Pelodiscus sinensis: one gene and its partner. The protein of the gene in region 2 purifies or fractionates together with the protein of the main gene of each other region. This does not show direct contact. Links are inferred from orthologs where the notes say so. Each region holds a gene or a part of one and is shown on either strand. Other genes may lie near its edges.

Region 1 (11,246 bases), on a different chromosome or scaffold from region 2:
GTTGCATTATTAGTCTAGAAAAAATCATTTTGGGCCAAGATCAAGCATGGAAAACGTCAGGCTAAAATGAGATTGTTTACTGACATTTACATGTGAGTGAAAGCAGAAAGTTCTAGATGAAACCATTTACTACAATGACTATTTAAAAAGCCTGTAATAAATACAAAAGAGGCCTTTCCAACCTAAATCCACAGGGGGAGTGATAGGGTGAAGTTTAATTTATTAAAGTTTTATTTTGAGGTCTTCTAAGCAGGTATCAGAATACCCCAAAACAGACAACAATTTGGGGGGGGGGGGGGGGAGAGAGAGAAAGTAAATAAATAAAATTAAAACTGTGGGAGAGATTATACTATGAAAAGCTTCACAACTCCTCATGGGTAACACTCATTCCAAACTCACACCAATAAAACCTTTATCTTGCATAAAAACAGCCAAACTGAGTCAGACCAATGGTTCATCTGCCTATTATATTATCTTCCAACAATGCCAGATGCTTCAGAAGGAATAAAGAACATGGCACTTGTTAACGGAGCAATTCCCTAACATCCAGTTCCAACATCTGTAGAGCCCTGAGAACAGGCATGTAGACCAAATAACTACAGTCCTGTGAGGATACAAAGTTTGTATTTGTATCTGGCAAAATGAGCCACTGATATCTGTGCTGAGGATGCTGACACCCGTGAATATCTACATGTTTACATAGTGATAGAAATGTAGCCCTGTTAGTCTGGGGTAGCTGAAGCAAAATGCAGGACAATGTAGCACTCATTTTGATCTGAGGAAGTGGGTCTGGCCCACGAAAGCTCATCATCTAATAAACCATCTTGTTAGTCTTTAAAGTGCTACATTGTCCTACATGTTTACAGGGACCTAAGAACCTGGCAGTCAGAGGCTTAACCACCCTGGTTGTTAACCATTGACTGACCTCTCTTCTATGATCTTATGTAATTTTTTAAACCTTGTTATAGTTTTGGTCTTCATGGTATCCCCCATCAATGAGTTCCACAAGTTGACAGTGCGTTGTGTGACGTTCTTCCTTTTGTTTGTTTTTAATACGCTACTCATTAATTCATTGGGTGACCCATAACATTCTTGTGTTATGTGAAGGGATAAACATTTCCCTACTTGCTTCCTCCACACCATTCATGATTTTATAGATCTCTTTCATGCCCCCTTCCTGCCCTGCCAGTCATCTGCTTTTCAATTGACTGGTCCCAGTCTATCTAGGTCTGCAGCATGGGTGTACTATTAATTTATACAGTGGGCATTATATTTGTCTTATTATCTATTCCTTTCCTATTGGTTCCTAACTTTGTTAACATGCAGCAGCAGTCAAAAAGGCTAAGTGGATGTTTTCAGAGAATTATCCATAACTCCAAGATCTCTTTCTTGTGTCTTAACAGCTAATTTAAACTCCATCATTTCATATGTATGATTGGAATGTTTCCCAAAATGCATTACTTTGCATTTATCAACACTGAATTTCACCTGCCATTCTGTCGCGCTGTCACAACCATAAACACTGAGACTATAAATTTAGACATATATAGAGAGGCAATCTGGATTTAGACAGGGCAGTAATATTCAACGCATGGGTGTAATTTGGATTTATGCAGGGAAGGGGTGACATTGAGAACAGGGCATAATTTAGAATTAGAAGCACAGGGAGCAATATTCAAAGTGAGGCATTATGTGTAAAATCTAAATTGTATCCTTGAGGAGTAACTTCTCAGTTTTTTGTAAATGCCACCAAACAGCAGCATGAAACCAATCTGCCTGCCAGTTAGTTCACAGCCCCATTTAATGATATCCATAGTGCATGCTGGAAAATGTGCGCGATTGGGGGATTGTGCAGAATGGATCAAAGTGCGGCATAAGATAGAGACATCCTGAACACAATGTGGGAATGCTATGTTCAATCACAATGGGATATTAACAACTGAGGTGCACTGATTATTATCTTTGACAAAATAAACACTTTACTGTATAGCAATACCCCACAGGCTCTTGCAAAACCTGCCTGAGCCATCTGAGATTCAAGCTATACTGGATAAGTAACTTTAAAAAAGAATCCCCTCTCCTGCTATCCTAGCTTTACACAAAAAGGGGTCATTAGCCTGAATGTATTAGAATGAAGTGAATTGTAGGGTCCTTTGAGGGCTATAACTGGAAGCTATAGTGGGGTAAAGAAATCTGAAAGTGGATACAGCTGACAGTTACTCTGGCAGATGAGTGATAATTTTCCTTTGTCTATGAGCATATAATACAGGGCAGCTGTATCTGAGAAGTCTATTTTAGACACTTATCTGGTCTCCATCACCATAATAGCTGAGTGGCTCATAAAATCTGTGAGGTAGGGAAGTGCTATTATCCCCATTTTACTTATGAAAATTGAAGCAAAGAGAGGCTCAATGACTTGCCCAGGTCGCACAGAGTATCTGTGATGGAGCTGGGAACTGAAACCTTAGTCTCCAAATCCTAGGCTAGCACCTTTCTTTTCATGCAAAAGGCAGGGGGCACCAAGAAAGGGAAAACAGGTTTCATGCAGCTGTGATACTGTAATCTAGTGCAGGGAAAAGCTTAATTCAGGGAAAAGGAGATTCTAAGAGCAGGGAAAAGGAGATTCTAAGAGCAGAAAACAGGACTCGCATGAGAGAAGATGTAATCCAGGAGAGAGAAGAGATGAAGAGGGCTTGTACATCAAGGGAACACTGCATATAACCAGGGATGGAGGCAACAGGAGACAAGCTGGGAATTTAACAGGTTGTGCTGGCTAGAGAATAAAGATGTAAAACCAGGGAAATTAATAAATAAGGGATCAGACTCAACAGGCAAGAGTCCACACTAAAGGTAGACTGGGGAAGGGAGGGTTGCACATGAGCAACAGGGAATTAAACACAAGAGAGGGCTACAGGGTGGAGAGAAAGGTGGTCCCTTAACATAAATGAGTCTATGGAAGTGTCAGAGTGCCACAGCAGAAGGGAAAAATCAAACAGGGGATCAGCAAGAGTCATAGTGAGTGGGGTGATCACATTAGGGGACAGTCAGAAACAGGATGTTCTGAGTGGGGAAAGAATCTTTGTGGGACAAGGGTCACATAAGAGGGGATGGGAAAGGATATGGGGATTTCCAGATCACACAGAAATGAAGAGGTTTGATATGAGACCAGATGTCTGGGAGGCAGGTGAGCTGAGAGGAATCATTTGGTGGAGAGACCTGGGGAAATGGTGATGCTGAAGAGGGAGGAGTTATGTGGGCAGGGGTCTGTGGGTGTTGAAGGGATCTCTCTTGGGGCGGCAAGGGGGTGCTGAGCAAAGAGGTATCTGTGGATGCTAGGGGTGAGAGGAGGCTGATATAGAGCAGTGGTTCTCACACTTGTGTGTTGGTGACTCCTTTCACACAGCAAGCCTCCAAGTGTGACACTCCCCTTGTGAATTAAGAACATTAACTCCATTTTAAATGCTAGAAGTAAAGTAGGGTTAGGATAGGGGGTCTGACTACTCACAGCACCCCACCTAATGTCACAAAGTTAGACCCCCCCAGTTTGAGAACCCCTTCAGTATGGGGAGGATCAGTATTCAGGAAAAAAGTCTGGGTTGCTGAGAGGTGTCTCTCTGGAAACAGAGGAGCAATGAGGAGCAAGGATGCTGGAGGTGTTTATGGGGGAGTAGAAGTGTGGAGGCAGGGGTGTCTGGAAGTATGAGGTAACTTTGCAGGGAGAGGAACAGGAAGAAATAAGATGATGCTAAAGAGATGTCTGTATGGGCAGGGAAATTTAGAAGTGAGGCCATGTGGGGGAGGAAGTAATGTAGGGACACAGACACTGAAGGAAGTAGGGGTCTGTGGGGGAGGAGCAGTGCAGGGGTACTGAAAAAAGGAGTGGGGGGACTGTGGATACTCTACATATTATGGGTGGCAGCAGGGGCACTGAAGGAGGAAAGGGTCAGGGACTCTGAATACTGTGGAGGAGGAGCTGCACAGGGACAAGGATGCTGAAGGCATAATGGGTCTGTGGGGACAGTGGGGGGGGGCTAAATAGAAGAAACCTGTAGGGGGAGAGGCAGTGTGGGTGTGCTGGAGGAAAGGATCTCTGGGGCAATGACAAACAGAGACCTGTGGGGGAAGGATACTATGGGTGCTAACAAGGAGACTGGGGGGGGGGGAGGGGAGGCAGTGAGAAGTAGGGGGGTTGCTGATGAAACCCATGGGGGGGGTGGGACAATGTGGGGAGGGGAGGGGAGGGGAGATTAATAAGACCTGTAGGGGGAGCAAGGGGAGGATGTTGATGAGACCTGTGTGGGGACAGGGTGCACAGTAGAAGAGTGACCTGTGGGAGGGGGTGCACTGAGGAGGAGAGATGTGAGGGGAGGGACAGTGTGGGGGCACTAACGAGACCCGTGGGGGAGGGACAGTGTGGGGGCGGGGGGGCCCCGAGGGGCAGAGGCCCGTGGGGAGGGGAGGGGCAGTGTGGGGGCGGGGAGGCCCCGAGGAGCAGAGGCGGTGTGGGGGCGGGGGGCCCGAGGGCAGGGGCAGTGTGGGGGCGGGGGGGAGGGGCGCGGGAGGATGGGGCCCGCGGGCCGATCTGTGGGGGCCGGGTCCGAGGCGGGCTAGGCCCGCAGGCGGGGCCCGGCCTCCCCCCGATTTATTTCCCCGGCTCCCCGCGGCAGGCGAGGCCCCGATCCCCCGCCCCGTGCAGCTGGGCCCGGCCCGCCCGCACTCACCGCTCGGCGCCGCGGCTCCCTCCGCCCGGCCCGGCTCCCCGTGTGAGAGGCGCGTCCAGGCAGCAGGGAGGAAGCGCGCTCCCGAGGCCCTGCGGGCTCGCGCTGCGCTCGCCGGTTAGTCCCAGGCCGCGCGCTCCGCCTTCTGCCCCCTCGGCCGGCGCCGCGTCGCGCGCCCGTGCGAACACTGCCCGCCGCTGATTGGCTGCGGCGTGAGGGAGGGCGGGAGCGAGAGAGAGACGAGCCGTTGCCCATGCCCAGAGAGACGGACACCCCCGTCCGCGCGTGCGCCGCAGAGCGCCGCAATCGAGGCGGGATAGGCGCAGGGGAGCGGCTCACTGAGCACGCGCCGAACAGCCCCGCTCCCAGAACCCACTCGGCTCCAGACGCCACATTCGAGCTCGGCCCAGCAGATTGATGACCCCGCCGCCCAATCAGAGCTCAACCCCGCCTAGCGTGGGAATCTACGCACGGCTCGTGGCGGATTCGGGTGATCGCGTCAATGGACCCCCCCCCCCCGTCTCGTTCTGTTGATATTTGGGGGAGGTGCCTTATTGAAAACAATTTAAATAAGCAGCGGAGAGGGAATAACCACCCCCCCCATGACTTCATGGTACCGTTCTCTGTGACGTCATAGTATACTCCACAAACTGCAGAACCCCCCACTTCGCGTGACTCCACCCCCCCATTCCATTGTCACGACGAGCCCACCACCTGACCCAGCCTTCAGTGGGTGTGAACCCCCATGGGCCAGTGACTCATGGCACAGCCCCTCCCCCCCGCCTCCACAGCCACCCAGCGCAGCATCTGGGGAGAGTGACCCTTGCCCCGTGTACACAGCGTGGGTTATCGCCCTGCCCCGTGTGACCGAGTGGGGATTGGGTTTGCTCTGGTATGCTGTATGTGATTCCTGCTGTCCTGTACTGCTCTGTTGTAACCCCGTGTTTGCGCCTCAGTTTCTCCAGGCCTTGCACCCCCATCCACAGCCAGCTCTGACTCTCAGCTAGCAAGTAGAACAAAAGTTTCATTCCTTGATAGGGACACAGCATAGCACAAACTTGTTAACACAGGAACCAGAAGCAGATAGTCCAATCCAGCTTAGGCAGAGGGAGACCCAGGGCCAGCACCCTGGGCCCCCTCCCTGCATCCTCCACCAGCAGAGAACTCATATACGCCCCACCTCATCCCCCAGCCTGGAGGCGGCTCTGCCCCCTCCTTTGTTCAGGTTCCTGAGCAAGGTGTCAGCTGGTTGCTCTACCCACCCAGGCTCAGGTTATAGGACAGCCTGAGCTATTGTTGTGTACTGCTAAGATGGGACCGCCTGGGGTAGCCTCCCTTCAGTGACAGCCAATCCAACATTCCTATCCCCAGCCAGACACCAATGCAGTACCCAGGGAAACTGAGGCACACACAGGGTTACAACAGAACAGTACAATAGGAATCACTTTCAGCACAACAAAGTAAACAGAGTGAACACAATCCCCACTCCATTACATCCTGGCACCAGGGTTATATTGCAAGCAGGATGCCAAGCCACTCAGGTGTCCTGTAAGCAAAAATGAGGAAGGAAAAGCTTAAGCTATAAGCAGCTGATGTTTGTTAAGAGACAATGGCATGGCAAGACAACGCCAGCACACAGCAGAGATCAAAAGACTACCGTGGTTTAAAAAGGAATTTCTCCCTCCAAAGGGAGGAAAAGCAGACTAAGATGCAGGGCCCCATTGGATGAGCACTTTAATGAGTGTGGTCACAACAGCAGCACTGAGAGAGTTCTAAGTAAATTCCCTCCATGAAGAGATTACCTTACAGCCCTGGAAGCCTGTGCACACAGTTGCTTCTCAGCACTGTAACTTGCTGTGCTGGGGGTGGGAAAGGGAGGAAATTACATCTAGGGTTGCCAGGTGTCCGGTTTTGAACTGGACAGTCAAGTATTTGAGCTTTCTGTTCAGGAAACAAATTGAGAAAATATAAATGTCCGGTATTTTCTAAATAAGATATAATATTGATTGTGATGTAATGTTAAGTGTTTCCAGTATTTTTGTTGAAACCATCTGGCAACCCTAAATGTACATCCCTGACGAGAAAGTTAAAGGAGCTTCAGGAGGTAGCCGAGTTAGTCTGTTATAGAAAAAACAACAAATGGTCTGGTAGCACTTTATAGACTAACAAAACATGTAGATGGTATCATGAGCTTTTGTGCGCACAGTCCACTTCTTCAGATGACCGGAGTTATGAGAACTCAAACACCTAGATCTATATCATGACAGAGGAGGATAGCAATGGTTCCACTTACAACAGCCTGAATAAGTAATCACGAGGGCTTCAATTTTAAATTATATCATAATAGCACCTAGAAAACCCAAGTAAGACCAGGGCCTCCCAATGCTGGGTACTACACAAACACGAAGTAAGAGATAGTCTTTGCTCCAAAATAGCCACCTTTAAATGGATAAAAGACAAAGGGAGGATTATTATCCTCTTTTTACAGAGCGTTAATGTGGCCTAGAGATGTGACATTACTTGCCTCAGGTCACACAGGTAATCTGCAGCAAAGCCAGGAATTGAACCTGATATGAGGCTCCGCACAGATAAGGCCAGCTCCTGCTCAAAAACTGCAGTTCTACCACCTAAGCTGGAAAAACTCAGTCATAAAAGGGGAAAGAACAAGGAAAACAGCTGATTGACATTTCATCATGCAGAGGTATAGCACTGGTTTCTCTTTGCAGCAGCATACATACCTCAACCATGAATCCTTCTTGCAACAGCTGCATGGCATGACTGGCTTTATTTCTCCCCTCCCCCACACTCTCAAAGCCCAAAGCACAGCCAGGAAGTTACACAAGGTCTGCACATCTCTGGTAAGTGGGAAGTGCTTCTGCCTAAGCAACAGGTCCTGACGTGCGACTTATGAAGTTTTTGATCCTTAGAACAGGTGAAAACGTGAATTACCTCAGATTACAGTGCACTAATTACACTGGGGAATTTGGATATGGCCCTTCTGCCCAATTCACCATCTTTTATAATCGAATCATATAGCCAGCACTATTGCCTTGTGATCCAAGAAGTCACTAGAAGGGGTTAATCAACAGTGCCCTCTCCTGGCTAGAGGGGTTAGGACAACTCATATTCCTCAACCCAAAATCCACTCTTTTTCTTCTATTCTATAGTCTTTCCCAGCATGTCCCGTCTTCTCTCCTGCTGTAGAACCTGCAGCATTCTTCCTACCTTTTCCATTTGTAAACCTTTTGTCCCCTCTTACCCTGAAGCTCCACCAACTTGCAGTAGTTCCTTGTGATGATTTCCCATTCTAATGGCAAATTCCTGGCTCCAAACCCATTTAAAACCACTGTACAACTTTATTGCAATGGCAGCCAGTCAAGGATGAGGGCCCAAGGTGCTAGGTGTTGTAGAAACACAGAACGAACCTACTATTCCAAATATAAGATGAGACAACAGATGAGCACAATTGATAAAAAGGGTGGGGAGAGAAGGCAACGAACACAAAGAGCAGTCACTGAACACCAACTGCCCAGCTATGGGTGCTGTCCACATTATAGCACAAGTAGGCTTTCAGGGGGGAGTTGAAGGAACTGTGGATGTTAATGGGGAATTCATTTGATAGATAAGGGTAATGGGGAGCTCTTTGTTGGAATGTTGGAAATGGGTGATCCAAGCTGGCAGTAAGTCAGGACAGACATCTCCATAGTGGAGGTGAGGTGAAGGGCCTAGAAAATGAAATTGTTAGTTCCTCGTAACCTAGCTCCTGGGATGATCCACATTTTGCTCAAATGCTCCAGCCTACTTTGTGTGGCCCTATTTCATTCCTTACATCAAAATTCCCCTCTCCAAGCCCCAAGCAGTGCATCTTGTGTGCATGCACTACAGAGCTCTCTCACACTGCAAGAGGTTACACAAAATTAATCCAGTCACCAAAAAACAACAAAAGGCCAGGAAATTTATTAACATTAGAAAAATATAAAAGAATATTGATCATCTCCTATAAAGAGAAGCCCCATGAAGCGTGGGCTGTGCAAAAGCGACAACAGGTCCAGATTTCAGGGGCTGAAATCTAAGGCAGGGAAGGGAACCTAGAGAAGGGAGGTAGGCAGTGAATCACGTACAGCTACATTTAATCTCCTATTTCCTCCCTGCTTCCATCTACAAGTTAATCCACAAACTTCCTCATCTGACCGACTCTGGTTTGTCCCAATGGTTTGTTCTGCACAGCAGCCTCTATCCCTTCTCACGCTGGTTTCAAATGGTTTAGTCTATGTGGCAGTCACCACCCCCTTCATTTGGTAAAAATACTGTCCACAATGAAGATGCTCTAAGATGCTGGAGTACACCTCTTCTGCTCCAGTGCAGCCCCTACTTAAGGTCCATGAAGCGGATGTCCATGATCAGCAGGAAGTTCTTGGGCAGTGGACGAGGTGCCGGTGCCAGCACCGTGAAGACCTGGCGATCTACGTCCACCCCAGTGACAACAATGAACCCAGCCACACTGGTCTCAGAGATGTTCTCCTCACTGCCATCAGCAGTGCTGACACTCAACAAGTGGTGCACCATGTCACGGCCTGGTGTCACTGGCACAAGCTTGAGTTGATTGTCCTCCTGTGACATGCCCAGAGGCAGGCATGAGTCAGGGATGGTGGGCGCCCCCACCTTGTAGATCTTGACATCAGAGAATTTGACATCGAAGGCGTGGGGGTAGAAGCAGCCACGGAAGCCATAGAAGTACTCACGGATGCGATCATCCCGGCATTCCCGCCGGAAGTCCTTTGAACGCTCCACCACCCCACCTGACTTGGGGAGCAACACCGTGCGCACAAAATGGGGCAGGTCCCGCTTCAGCTCATTGTACAGGCGTTCCTGGTCCAGCACTACCACCACATCCACCTCAAAGGCTGAGGCTGCATGCACCAGGGCCTGATACCCAGAGCCCTTCACCCAGCCGCACGTGTTGATGACACAGCCACTGACTGAAGCCCGACGGTTCACTTCGCAGCGCTGGTTAAAAACGTCAGCCAAGCGAGATGTGATCTGCAGAGAGGAAGCAGCATAGCTAATTAGAACCCAAGAAAGATGTGCAGGAAGGGCTCCACCCGCAGTCTTTTCCTTTCTCAAGGTGTGGCCTGTATTTTTCACAGCCTGCTACCACTAGATGGTGGACTTATCACATATAAATTGCCCTGGAGTAGCTATTCAACTCAGTAGAGGAGATACCCACACAAACGTCTTTCCATTCAAGCACCTCATTTTAGATACCTAGACATAGCAAGTTCAACACGGCAGAGCATAGCTTAATACGAGATACACTCTATAAATAACTATATGATGTTTAGTTACTCAGGACTAGGGATATAAGAGGTTAACTAGTTACCCAGTAAGCAGGTGGCTTGTCAGTGTGTGTTGTGGTTGGAAAACCGGAAGATCATTGTATTTCGAGGAGTTAGTGTATCTTTCCAGTTCTCATGTCTGCAAACTAGAAAACAGGCTTTGGACTGCTGTTAGCAAGGGAAATTCCCAGCTAGCTAGCTCGTTAGAGATAGGCCCTGTCTGGCATGGCTGAGCTCATTGCATAGTTGAGATAAGCTTCCAGGTAAACAAGCCTGCCTTCGGGAATCTTCTCAAGCAGGCAGGTGTTTGTTTTGGGGTTTTTTTTCCTCTGTATGTAGTTAGTGGCTGATTCTAGAATTTTGTGTACAGGCTATATATTGTTTAATGTTGCCAACGCCCTTTGGACTTCCCGAAGGACCTGGAACTGTACAGGTGTCTTCTGACCTGGCCCAGGAGTCCATCCTTTGCTGAGTCAGAGTCCCCAGCAAGCCAAAGGGATGTTGTCAGCCTTCTCTTGCCTTTTCTTTTTATATCACCTGCAATATCTAATAAATCTTGCATTTATATGCATTAAGCTATTTGTGTCTTCTTGGTTACCCTCCGAACCTGAGAGCAGAGTTTGGCTGGCCCAGTCTCTGAAGTAAGACAGCGTGCTTTCAAGGTAACTGGTTAACTGGCCTGGCCAGCTGGATCCTGCTTGTGGCCACAGTAGACTCGGCCAGAGGTCACCTCTCTCTCCCAACCTGCAGCCAGGACTGGAGCATGCAGTGGAGCCAGAGCTGCCTCCATTTTCTGGCTCCGTCTCAGCCGCAACCCATCATGGACAGGGGGCTGCTCCAGGTTTGACCAATTAGACTTAGTGTTTAACCAGTTAATATGTTAAACGTTAAATACATCCCTATTCAGGACCAACTACTAAGCACCAGGGCATTTATTTGTTTTGTAGAAAACTAATCAGATTGGAGATCTAACACCCTGCCGACTAAAATTGAAGATAAATGATACAGGCAGTCCCCGGGTTACGTGGATCCGATTTACGTCGGATCCCTACTTACGAACGGGGCTTTTCTCGCCGCGGAGGACGTGGGCGGCGGGACCGCCCAGACGTACCATGGTCCCACCGCCCGCGTCCTCCGCGGCGAGAAAAGCTGCTCCGCGTCTCCCTGGCCTGCTGGGGGGCATCCCCCAGCA
Region 2 (10,752 bases):
CCACAGAATTTCACCCAGTTACTTATGAATGGAGCCCTATAACTTGCGTTTGACTAAAAGCATAACTTCCAGAAAGACATCCAGATTAGGACCAAAGGAAGTAAATTCACCGAGGTCACATTAATATAAAGGTCTGCAAAATGCAGCTTACTTCTGGAAATTCAGATTATATGTTTGTATAAAGCAAGGAGTATCTTGTTTTAAGAGAACAGACTATGCACAGTAACAGCAGAAAGCCAATACAACCTCCAAAACAGTCTTAGTTGAGTGACTTTTATATTTTATTAGCAGTGTGAAGTTTCACTTTGGTCTCTCTTACACACTGCTCCTTCAGATTTATCGGAACCTCCCGACGTTTCAGTTCAGGAAGCTTTTACTAGTCAGAGTTTTGTTTCTTATCTCTGAATGGGTACCTGTCAGCCCTCTTCAAACAAATAATGGAAGCAAGTAAGCCATAAAGATATCCAGCTCAGATCTCTTCAACACTCCCATTTCCTACTCAGTCAAGCTGCAAGAAGTGGAAACTAGAGATGTCATATCCATCTCCACAATCCATTACTATTTGAGTTTGTCACAAAATGACTGCATGACTGATTTCAAATAAAGAATTCCTGAAATGCAGCCATCTATAAATCTACTAAAGGGTTACTACAAGAGACACACCAGTTCAGTTTAATCAAATTTAAGTTTTGATGGATGAGCTTTCTGGCGAGGTTTTAGCTGCAATATTATGTATTTAGAATGCTATTCTGATTAAAGAAAATGACAAGATGATTACATTATGGAAATCTACCTTATCTTGAGAGTGTCAAATTATTTATAAAAATAACTAGATATTCAAACAAGTTACAGAGTATAGTGCAATAAGTCACAAGTCAAGAAAGAGTGAGTCATAAGAATTAATCATCTCTTTGAACTGTTCTCATTAGCATGACCATAAATGCTGCATTTTCCAAGGAGATTTGAAGTTATCTGCCTTGCCATCCCTACTCTATCTAGTTCAGTTATAAAAAGACATTTCAGCTGGTGTCAGCCCAATCTTCAAAAAAAAAAAAAAAAGAAAAAAAAATCACTCTTCTTACATAAGGTGAGCCAAAGATATCTAGCTAAATAAAATACTGCAAACCAGCACTATTTATCACCCTGCTCAGAAGGGATGATAAAGGGTTCTGTTAATATATAATTACAGCAGTAATCTTGAGCAGAATTGTTTGAAACATGTTTTTATTTCAAGTCAGTAATATTAAATCAGACTTCTTTACACTCATTTAATCCAAAGGAATGATGAATGTATTCACATATTGACTTGGCTATCTACTCATTGGCTTTGTAAACACAAAGGCTGTGTCTAGACTGGCAAGTTTTTCTGCAAAATCATCTGCTTTTGTGGAAAAACTTGCCAGCTGTCTACACTGGCCGCTTGAATTTCCGGAAAAGCACTGACGATCTCATGTAAGATCGTCAGTGCTTTTCCGGAAATACTATGCTGCTCCCGTTCGGGCAAAAGTCTTTTTCCGAAAGACTTTTGCGCAAAAGGGCCAGTGTAGACAGTACAGTAGTTTTCTGCAAAAAAGCCCCGATCGCGAAAATGGCAATTGGGGCTTTTTTGCGGAAAACCGCGTCTAGATTGGCCACGGACGCTTTTCCGCAAAAAGTGCTTTTGCGGAAAAGCATCCTGCCAATCTAGATGTGCTTTTCCGAAAATGCTTTTAACGGAAAAGTTTTCCGTTAAAAGTGTTTTCGGAAAATCATGCCAGTGTAGACGTAGCCAAAGAGCACAAAATAAAGAAGAACTGACAGTATTAAATACAGACTACATATGTAAGTGTGTACACATGGAGGTGTGACAAGTATGTATGACTTCTAGCTCTTCAAGCTAGTATGTCATGGTGTTTAAAAATGAAGCTCTTCATTTTTAAAGAGAAACTATCAGAACAACATTTTTATAATTTTAGAATGATCTCGTGGTTCACCAAAAGACTGGAAATCAGCAGTTCTGCATGAGACAAACCTATACTTGATTTGACCTAAATAATGGGCATAATATTGATTTCACAAGAAGGGCAAATGGACTAATCTGATGCTCATGAAGAAACTGGGTTTTATTTGGAAATATTTGCATGGGTGTTAGATTGTTCCCTTAGTGAATGCTTACCTGGAGCTTGGAAAAGTCTCAAATAGAGGGTACTGTATAGATATGTGCGAGAGGTAGATTTGGAGTAGTTATAGCCCACCATTCTCTAGCTTAACATCTCACCTAAACCCAAACATAAAGAAGACAAGCAGTAAAATGGTAAGATGCAGCAGAAGATGCTGAAAGGTAGGGTAAGATGCAGCAGAAGATGCTGAAAGGTAGGCTAAGAGCAGCCTGAACTCCTGAGGATTTGTGGAAGCAAATGGAACACAGGGACTAGTATTTAGTAGGGAATCAGGAATCTTTCTTGAGCTACAGAGCTGTGAAGCAACTCTCTTGATTATTAATCTCTATGGGATTAAATTGCTGAAAATTTGGTGTAAAACTCGCCAGTTTAGTGATTGCCTAATGGATTTTAAAAATGAAACATAATTGGATTTAGAAACAGTCCTACCAACTTGACACTATATGACTGATTAGTCAAAGATATATTTTTCAACTAATTAATTCTTTGACTAAAACGGCACACTATTTTTCTATGGTTATGTATAGTTTACCCTAGCAGCAGGTGATCACTTCCCGCATCTGGAAAATGACATATTTCTTTGTTACTCTCCAACCAGTGACTGAAGCTGGCATTTATTTCAAATATATGCTTATAATTCTCAGGTAGCTGAGTCTGTGCTCTCACTGATATGTCCCAGTATTTTCAGGAAGCTAGGCTAGCAGGTGAAAGCTTATTCTGTATTTGTACTATAGTAATGAACGAGGCTGTCATAAGAGAAAACCTTAGAAATAAAGTTAGAAGCTAAAGCACCTCTGCTGATGTACATAAAAAGTTATGATCCAACATTGTGATTTTCATTTGCTTTAAGTTAATTGCATGAAAGGTAACAGGCTCACCTTTTCATAATGTGTCTCCATGCACAAAAAGATAGTGTAAGCAGTCAGACAGGCCAAACATCCTTCAAGATAAGATTGACCCCCAAGCTTCTCAGCTTCTGCATAAAGGTTATTTAGAGTTTGAACTGTCTCTTCAAACTGCTGCCTATCGATCTGCAAAAGATTGACAGTAAATTGCTTAGTCAGAACTCAATCCCTAAAGCAAAGATGTACCTTCTGTGTAGAACATTCTTAATCACCAGTGTATCACCTACATCCAATTAGCTTCAAGCACAACATGGAGAACCAAGGTTGTGTTCTGGTACAGAAGGACCTCTGTGTATCATAGCTGCTATTTAACCCAATGCTAAGTGATTTAAAGTTACTAGATCAAATGTGTATTCCCATATTACACATTTACAGCCCTTATTTAAGCTGTGTTGTGTGTACAGTATTAGATTCAAAGTACAACCTACTTGGAAACTGTTGACCTGGAGTAGGGATACAAAAGTGTAACCATTTAAATGATTAGCCTACAAACTTCATCTTATTGGTTTTGGTTAGAGTTACACACAGGCTTCTTGGGAGATTCTGCAATGCATGCCACTGGTGTAACCACTAGGATTTTTAGCTGTTACATGGTTATGTTTTTAAACGAGTTTTTACATTCCTAATCTGGAGGGTGAGGTCCTCTAGATTTCAAAAATAAATTATTCGCAGGGGACATGGGTTAAACTAAACCTCATATGCTCTGACTAAGGCCTTGACTATTTTGCATTATTATGACAGAGTTGATCACTAATAACATTAACAAGGAAAGCTAAGGTGATTAGTGTTCCATACAGGACAGGCAAGAAGCAAAAAGCCCCAGAAGTGACATTTACTAGCCATAGAAGACAAGCACAACTGGCAAGAAGCATTTTCTTTCTAGCTTAATAAAATATCACAATTGCCAGCAACACAATGAAAGGAAGCACTTGTAAAGCCATGTAAATGCAAGTTCAACAAAAGAGTCCTCTCACCATCAGACAGGACTGTGGTAGAGAATACATACTTTTTCACTGACATAAGAGATGTAATTGATGATACAGTTAAAAGGGACACCTTTCCTCAGGATTACAGAGAGCATAAAAAACAAATGACTTCTAAACATGGTCAATAACAAAAGAGAGGAGCAGATAAGTCAGAATTTATACAAATGAACCACATTTTCACTTCTTTATAAAAAATAAACATGCCTTTGATGTGCTTTAAAAAAAAAGTTATGTTCCTTTGCGTGCTAAAGACCACAAATCTCAGGTACACAGCAGGTAAGCTCTCAGGTCAGCCATGTGCAGCTAGCTCAGGACTTCAATCATTCCTAATTCAATCATTCATACAATCCCAGATAAATTAAAACAAAGCTTTTACCCTGTTTTCTAACTCTGGGGGAAACTTGGTCTGGAACTGGCACCTGGTGCCGCTACTGTAGTCTCTCTGGACAAACACTTTACCAGAAACAGGTGCCTGCTGCGGCCGCATCGCACAGGTAGAACTGGCTGTTCTAGGAGAAGAAACAGAGTCGAATGCATTACATGGTCACCAGAAGCACCCTACAGCTCAGAAATACACCAAACTGCCCCCACACCTGAAGCCCCTCCATAGCTTCAAGGCAGCTGTTAGACTGTCACAGCTTGGCCCTGGCCCAGGGCTCACTCTGGGGTCCCATCCCCACAGCCCGCCCGAGACACCAACTCCCCCCACCCCCAGAACTCCCCACGCCCACGGACCCACCCCATCCCAAACTCCCCCCCCCACATTTCACCCACACTCCCCCCCGTCCCAGCCTCCGCCCCACCGCCAGGATCCAGCCCACCCCGCCCCAACCCCCCGGGCCGGACATCCCCGCCCACGCACTCCCGCCCCCGGCTTCAACGCCCTTCCTGAGGCGCTTCCCGGCCCCCACCCTTACAGACAAAGCCAGGCCCCTGCTCCCTCCGCTTCAGCGGCCGTCGAGCTCCCTCCCTTACGACTGCCGTAAAAGCACCACCCCAGTTTCGCTGAAAGCCGTAAGTGAGCAGCGAAGCCACTTAGAGGAGTCATGCGCATGCGCTGCTGCCAGGTCGCGCGACAGGCGAGTACGTTGGCCTATTGTGCGCGTGCGTCAGTTTCTGCGCCGGGAAAAGATTCTGCACATGCGCTATTCTGCTCAGGGGCGGGGGGTCTTCGTGCTGACGAGGCCCGCAGGGCCCGTTTGGCGCCTCAGGGCTCACGCGGCAGCAGAGCTCCTTGTCATGGCACGGTCAGAGGTACGGCCCGGTCTGTGGTACTGCCGCCTCGTGGCAGAGCCCCCCCACGGCACGGTCTGTGGTGTGGTCTCCCTCCCTGTGCCACACCCCGGTCTGTGCTGTGCCCCCCCTTTTCTGTGCTACGGCCCCTCCTCCTGGTACAGCCCTTCCCCCCCCCGCGGCATGATCAATGGTACCATCTCTGTGGCATGGCCTCCCACAGCAAAGTTAGTGGTACAGTCCCCCTGTCCTGTGGCGTGGCCCCCCCCATTGCATGGTCAGTGGTTCAGCCCCCCCCCCCATGGCACAGTCTGTGGCATGGCCTTTCCCATCTGTGCACAGCCCAGTGGCACGGTCTCTGCTGGCTCGCTCTTCCCATGGCTCGTTCCGTGGCAGTGCCCCTTACCCAGACAAAAGGCAGGACCATGCAGCACTTTAAAGACTAACAAGATGGTTATTAGGTGAGGAGCTTTCGTGGGCCAGACCCACTTCCTCAGAGCCCACGAAAGCTCATCGCCTAATAACCGTCTTGTTAGTCGTTAAAGTGCTGCATGGTCCTGTCTTGGCTGCATCTCTAGCACTACCTTACCTGAGAGTCATTTGAAAGGTGAATGCAGACTGATATTGTGGTATTTAGCTGGATGTCTCCATTCCCTCCTCTGATTTTGATCAAATTCTATTTTTGCTCTGGCAAGAAATTTAGTAAGCATTCAGAAATTTAGTACTCTTTTTTTTCAAAGTGCAGTGGAAACAGAGGCCGCAGTTCACAACAGTGTGAAAGAATCATATTTGATCATAATATTTAATTTCTTACTGTTTTATTGTCATTGATTGTGACTGATTTTTAACAAAGGCTTTAGATGTGATACTGGCAATTACAGGCTGGTAAGCTTAAACCTCAGCTTGGAGAAAATTGGTTGAAACTATAGTGAAACAATAGTAAATATCATAATGACACTGCCTAATTCTGTGAGAACATGCCGGTCGCCCCATCTAATATATATATATATTAGAACTGGAAAAAGTGCGGAGAAGGATATCAAAAGTGATAAGGAGAATGATCCTACACGTAGATTAATACAATTTGTTGCGGAAGAGTCAACATGGCTTTTGTAAAGGGAAATCATGTCTCACCAATCGGTTAAAATTCTTTGAGGGATTAGCAGTCATGGACAAGTGAGAATCAGTGGATATAGTTTGTACTTGGATTTTCAGAGAACCATTGACGAGGTCTCTTGCCAAAGGCTCTTAAGCAAAGTAAGTAATCATTGGAAAAGAGGGAAGGTACTGTCATGGATTAGTTATTGGTTAAAATTGTATGAGAACATGCTTGCATTACTTGGGGGAGAGAGCTTTGTGCAATGGGGGTGAAAAGGGAGCAGATTGGAGGCAGGGCATTGGGGAAGGGGTGGAATGGGGCCTTTTTGAGTCTGTAGAGTCACATTTTTTCACTTTTCTCTGCAACCATAAGATCTGGATACTATTTTTTCAATGAAAGTGGAGGCTCTCCCATAATTATGTAACGCTAGGAGCTGGGAATTTAAATCATCAAATGTTGTGAGATTTGTAATAAACTTATGAGCATTTCAAACACTGTGTTTTTGATATGGACTAAAGGGACTAGGAGCCATATGTGCTCCAGGGCTGGAGCACCCATGAAGAAGCATTGGTGGGTGCTGACCACCTATTGACAGCCACCTATCAGCTCTCCCCATCCCCCAGCGTAGCCTGCCTGACAGTGGGAGGGGATCAGTGCTTCCCTCTCCCTCCCCACACCTCCCGCCTGCTGTGATCAGTTATTTGCAGCATTTGGAGGCTGGGTGAAGGGAACGAAGAAGCAGCGCGCTGGAGGAAAGGGACAGAACTGGGCAGGAAGAGTCAGGGTGGGGGTGGAGCAGGGGTGGGAAGAGGCAGGATGGGGTTGGAGCTTTGGTGGAAGGCATGGAGTTGGAGCAGGGTTGGGGCAGAACTAGGGGCTGTGCTGGAGAGGCCTCTGTCTGAGGGGAGTTTGGACCCCCCGTGGACAGGCGCTGCTGCTTCACAGGAGCCTCTGTCCGCCATGTGCCCAGGGTTGCTGTCTACAGAGGCTGCTCTGGGGGATGCTGGAGCAGCGCCTCTGTCTGCGGGGAGCTCAGGCCCCCCCATGGACGGGCTGGGCCACCTCATGCTGTTGCTTCTGTATCAGAGGCAGCAGCATGAGGTTGCAGGTGGGGGCTGGTCTGCGCGGGGAGCTGGTTTTTAAACTGGTTCCCTTTGCAGACCAACTCCTGCCTGCCATCCAGCACGGCTGCCTCTAATACAGTGCAGCCGGCCCCACCTCTGGGACTATCGAATAGTTGTGTAACCACTAAAATGTAATGCGGTTACACGACTATTCAGTTACACTATTTCTATCTTCCCTACTTTCAAGTCCATCATGCATGAGAACCCTATGCTTGTGTGGTTCTTTCATTTCCAGTTTGTAGCCACACACTGATCTGCACTGTAAATATCATCATAATCTCTACTGATTATATTCCTATCCCTTGCTCTAAATCAACCCTAGCTTCAGACACTCTTACTGCTTGAAGTACCCTCATGGCACTGAAAATACCATCTTTAGCATGCCTGATATTACAACATCTGTTCTCTGGCATTAAAATACTATGTTCAGAAAAAATACACATTTGCACTTCAGCAGAAAGATGGTTTAGCGGCTCGGGCAGAACAGAGCTTGACTCGTGTCCTATTTTTCTGATACTTAACTGCTTTCTTGTACCTTTTTAATTCTGAATTATGACCTTTTGGTCATGGCTAAGACAAATTGAACAACTGCAACAAAATCCTGTCCATGAAAAAAGTGCTCATGCACAGACATTTAACCAGAGCAGGGCTACTCAACTTTGGAAGCTCTGGGGGCTACAATGATACTCACAGCACATACCGAGGGCCGCAACGTAAGTGTGGTTGCATAGACATGCAAATAGATATAGCTTCTTTCACGCTGACAGCCATGAATATAAAGATTAAGGCAAGAATACACAACACGCAGGCCTCATTTAAATCAGTTCTGCTGATATTAATAAAATGCAATATTTACCCGATTTCCACCCATATGACAGCACTTCTAATGAGCAATGGCAGTCCAGGAATTAAACTACTAAAACACATAACAGAAGACCATTATATTGACTACTTTTTTGTTAGGCCACGTGTTGAGTCCAGTGTAAACCCAAATTGCACCGTGGGATGCAAACAAACGGGTGGCGGGCCACATACGGCCTATGGGCTGCGTGTTGAGTAGCCCTGAACTAGAAAGTTGCAAAGAATATTCCTTGTACTAAAAGTTATTAGAAATGCACCTAGAGACATGGCTATCCTACTCAACAGCTTCTACTCAACAGCTCCTACTAAAACACATTACTTGTTCAATGCACAATGTTGTGTGCCTAGATGCCATGTTGGTAAGTGTAATAAATAATAAATGTGCTGCCTTTGGGCTTTGGGCTGAAATGATTTCTGAGGATGAAAGGTGATATGAGAAATTCACATTCTTTAATAATAAGCAGAATGTGAAGAGTGCACATTTAGCTGCAGTAGTAGTGGAGAACAGGAGTGGATCATCTGGAAAAAAATTGACAATTTTAAGTTCCTAACTCTTTTAAAAAAACTATTCTGATTGGTCATAGGCCAAGAAACACTGTTATCCAACAGAAAATGCACATCTTGCATTCCCTTAAACCTTCTCATGTTGCTTCTAAAGTAAGAAGCAAACACAGGAAATCTTGATGTTTGAAATGTCAATGGAATTCAGATGAAAGTGAACCATAAATGCTCTATGTCTCAGAGTGGTAGCCATATTAATCTGTAACTTTAAAAAGAATGAGTAGTCCTGTGTCACTTTAGAGACTAACAAAATACATATAGTATCATGAGCTTTTGTGGGCAAAACCCATTTCTTCAGGAAGTGAGTTTTGCTCTTGAAAGCTCATAATACTATATATTTTTTTGTTAGTCTCTAAGGGTATGTCTACACTGTATTCCTCTTTCGAGAGAGAAATGCAAATGCAGGTGAATGAAATTGCAAATGAAACAGGGATTTTAATTTTCCATGCTTCATTTGCATAATCGCGTCCAGATGCTATTTCGAAATACCCTATTTTGAAAAAAGAAATGCAGTCTAGACATGGTTATTTCGAAAGAAAACCCTTCTTTCGAAATTACCCTTAAACCTCATTTTATAAGGAGTAAGCGTAATTTCGAAAGAAGGGTTTTCTTTTGAAATTACCACGTCTAGTCTGTGTTTCTTTTTTCAAAACAGGGTATTTCAAAATAGCGCCAGGACGCAATTATGCAAATGAAGCGATGGAAATTCAAATCTGCGCTTCATTTGCAAGTTCGCTCAGCTGCATTTGCATTCCTCTCTTGAAAGAGGAATGCAGTGTAGACATAACCTAAGATGCCACAGGACTACTCGTTCATAAATGCCCCGTGAAAGCTCTTTATATTTGATATATTGAACTCCATCCTGCTTTTTGTGGACACTTTGGCTAAGAAAGTTGATAGAGATTGGTCACAGTGTATATGGCCATGAAGTCCCATCTCCACATTGCTGTGCAATTTTTGCCCTGGCTGTCACCCTTTTACCCAGAGGTGGCTGTATTTCTGTGGTTATATAATACAGGTATGAATAGAAAGAGAATTTGGGAAGTGTTTGGGCTTGTTAATTGGCTAACCTTTTACATCCCTAGGTTCCACAAGCTCTAGTAGTCAGGAAGAAAACAATTGTGTTTTGCAGAAATAGTTCGTCCAACTTTAGCGAGTGAGTTCAAGAAACTTACCATATGACCCAAGAGCCTAGACCCGTCCTGGTGGTGAATAAAACCCATAAACAAATAGGCTATGTCTACACTTGCGGCTTCTTGCACGAGTAGTATGCAAATCAGGCTAAGCATGGAATATCGCCGAGCCTCATTTGCATACCTAGTGAGCCACCATTTTTTTCAGAAGAGGCCTCTTGCACAAGAAGGAGCGTCTACACTGCCCCTTCTTGCACAAGAAAAACCCTCTTGCGCAATGCCGTTCTTCCTGTCAAGTAATAGGGCAGTGTAGACGCTCCTTCTTGCGCAAGAGCCTCTTCTGAAAAAAATGGTGGCTCATTAAGTATGCAAATGAGGCTCGGCAATATTCCACGCTTAGCCTCATTTGCATATTACTCACGCAAGAAGCCGCGAGAGTAGACATAGCTATAGTGTCTCAACTATATATTTTGTTTTGCAAGACCTCCTGTGTCAGATGCCTTCTAATGCCACAGATCGTCTTCCTGGGCTCAGAGGAACTGCTGGAGAGTAAAGAGAGGCCAAGACAGCAAGCTTCAAACAGTGATTGGACATGTCTAAGAAGAATATGAATATCCAGAGATGTAATAGTTAAGGCTAAAAAAAAAATGAGTTGAAACCCCTCATGCTTCTAACTCTTAGGGTACGTCTA

Evidence for each region. The genes of interacting proteins can lie anywhere in the genome.
Region 1: the proteins of GOLGA7 (region 2) and ZDHHC5 purify together in Homo sapiens (co-immunoprecipitation; 3 studies listed by BioGRID and IntAct, with this or other methods). This does not show direct contact. The link is inferred for Pelodiscus sinensis from reciprocal best matches to the Homo sapiens genes GOLGA7 and ZDHHC5.

The regions. Positions count from the first base shown.
Region 1 is NC_134714.1:128,557,076-128,568,321, reverse strand, and holds the start of ZDHHC5 (palmitoyltransferase ZDHHC5), read right to left. Parts: upstream 5,035-11,246; 5' UTR 4,722-5,034; intron 1-4,721. Other genes in the region: polyribonucleotide 5'-hydroxyl-kinase Clp1, read right to left, coding at 9,087-9,758. UniProt on the Homo sapiens protein: Palmitoyltransferase that catalyzes the addition of palmitate onto various protein substrates such as CTNND2, CD36, GSDMD, NLRP3, NOD1, NOD2, STAT3 and S1PR1 thus plays a role in various biological processes including cell adhesion, inflammation, fatty acid uptake, bacterial sensing or cardiac functions.
Region 2 is NC_134738.1:16,481,156-16,491,907, reverse strand, and holds the start of GOLGA7 (golgin subfamily A member 7), read right to left. Parts: upstream 5,121-10,752; 5' UTR 5,105-5,120; coding exon 4,968-5,104; intron 4,560-4,967; coding exon 4,427-4,559; intron 3,191-4,426; coding exon 3,038-3,190; intron 1-3,037. UniProt on the Homo sapiens protein: May be involved in protein transport from Golgi to cell surface. The ZDHHC9-GOLGA7 complex is a palmitoyltransferase specific for HRAS and NRAS.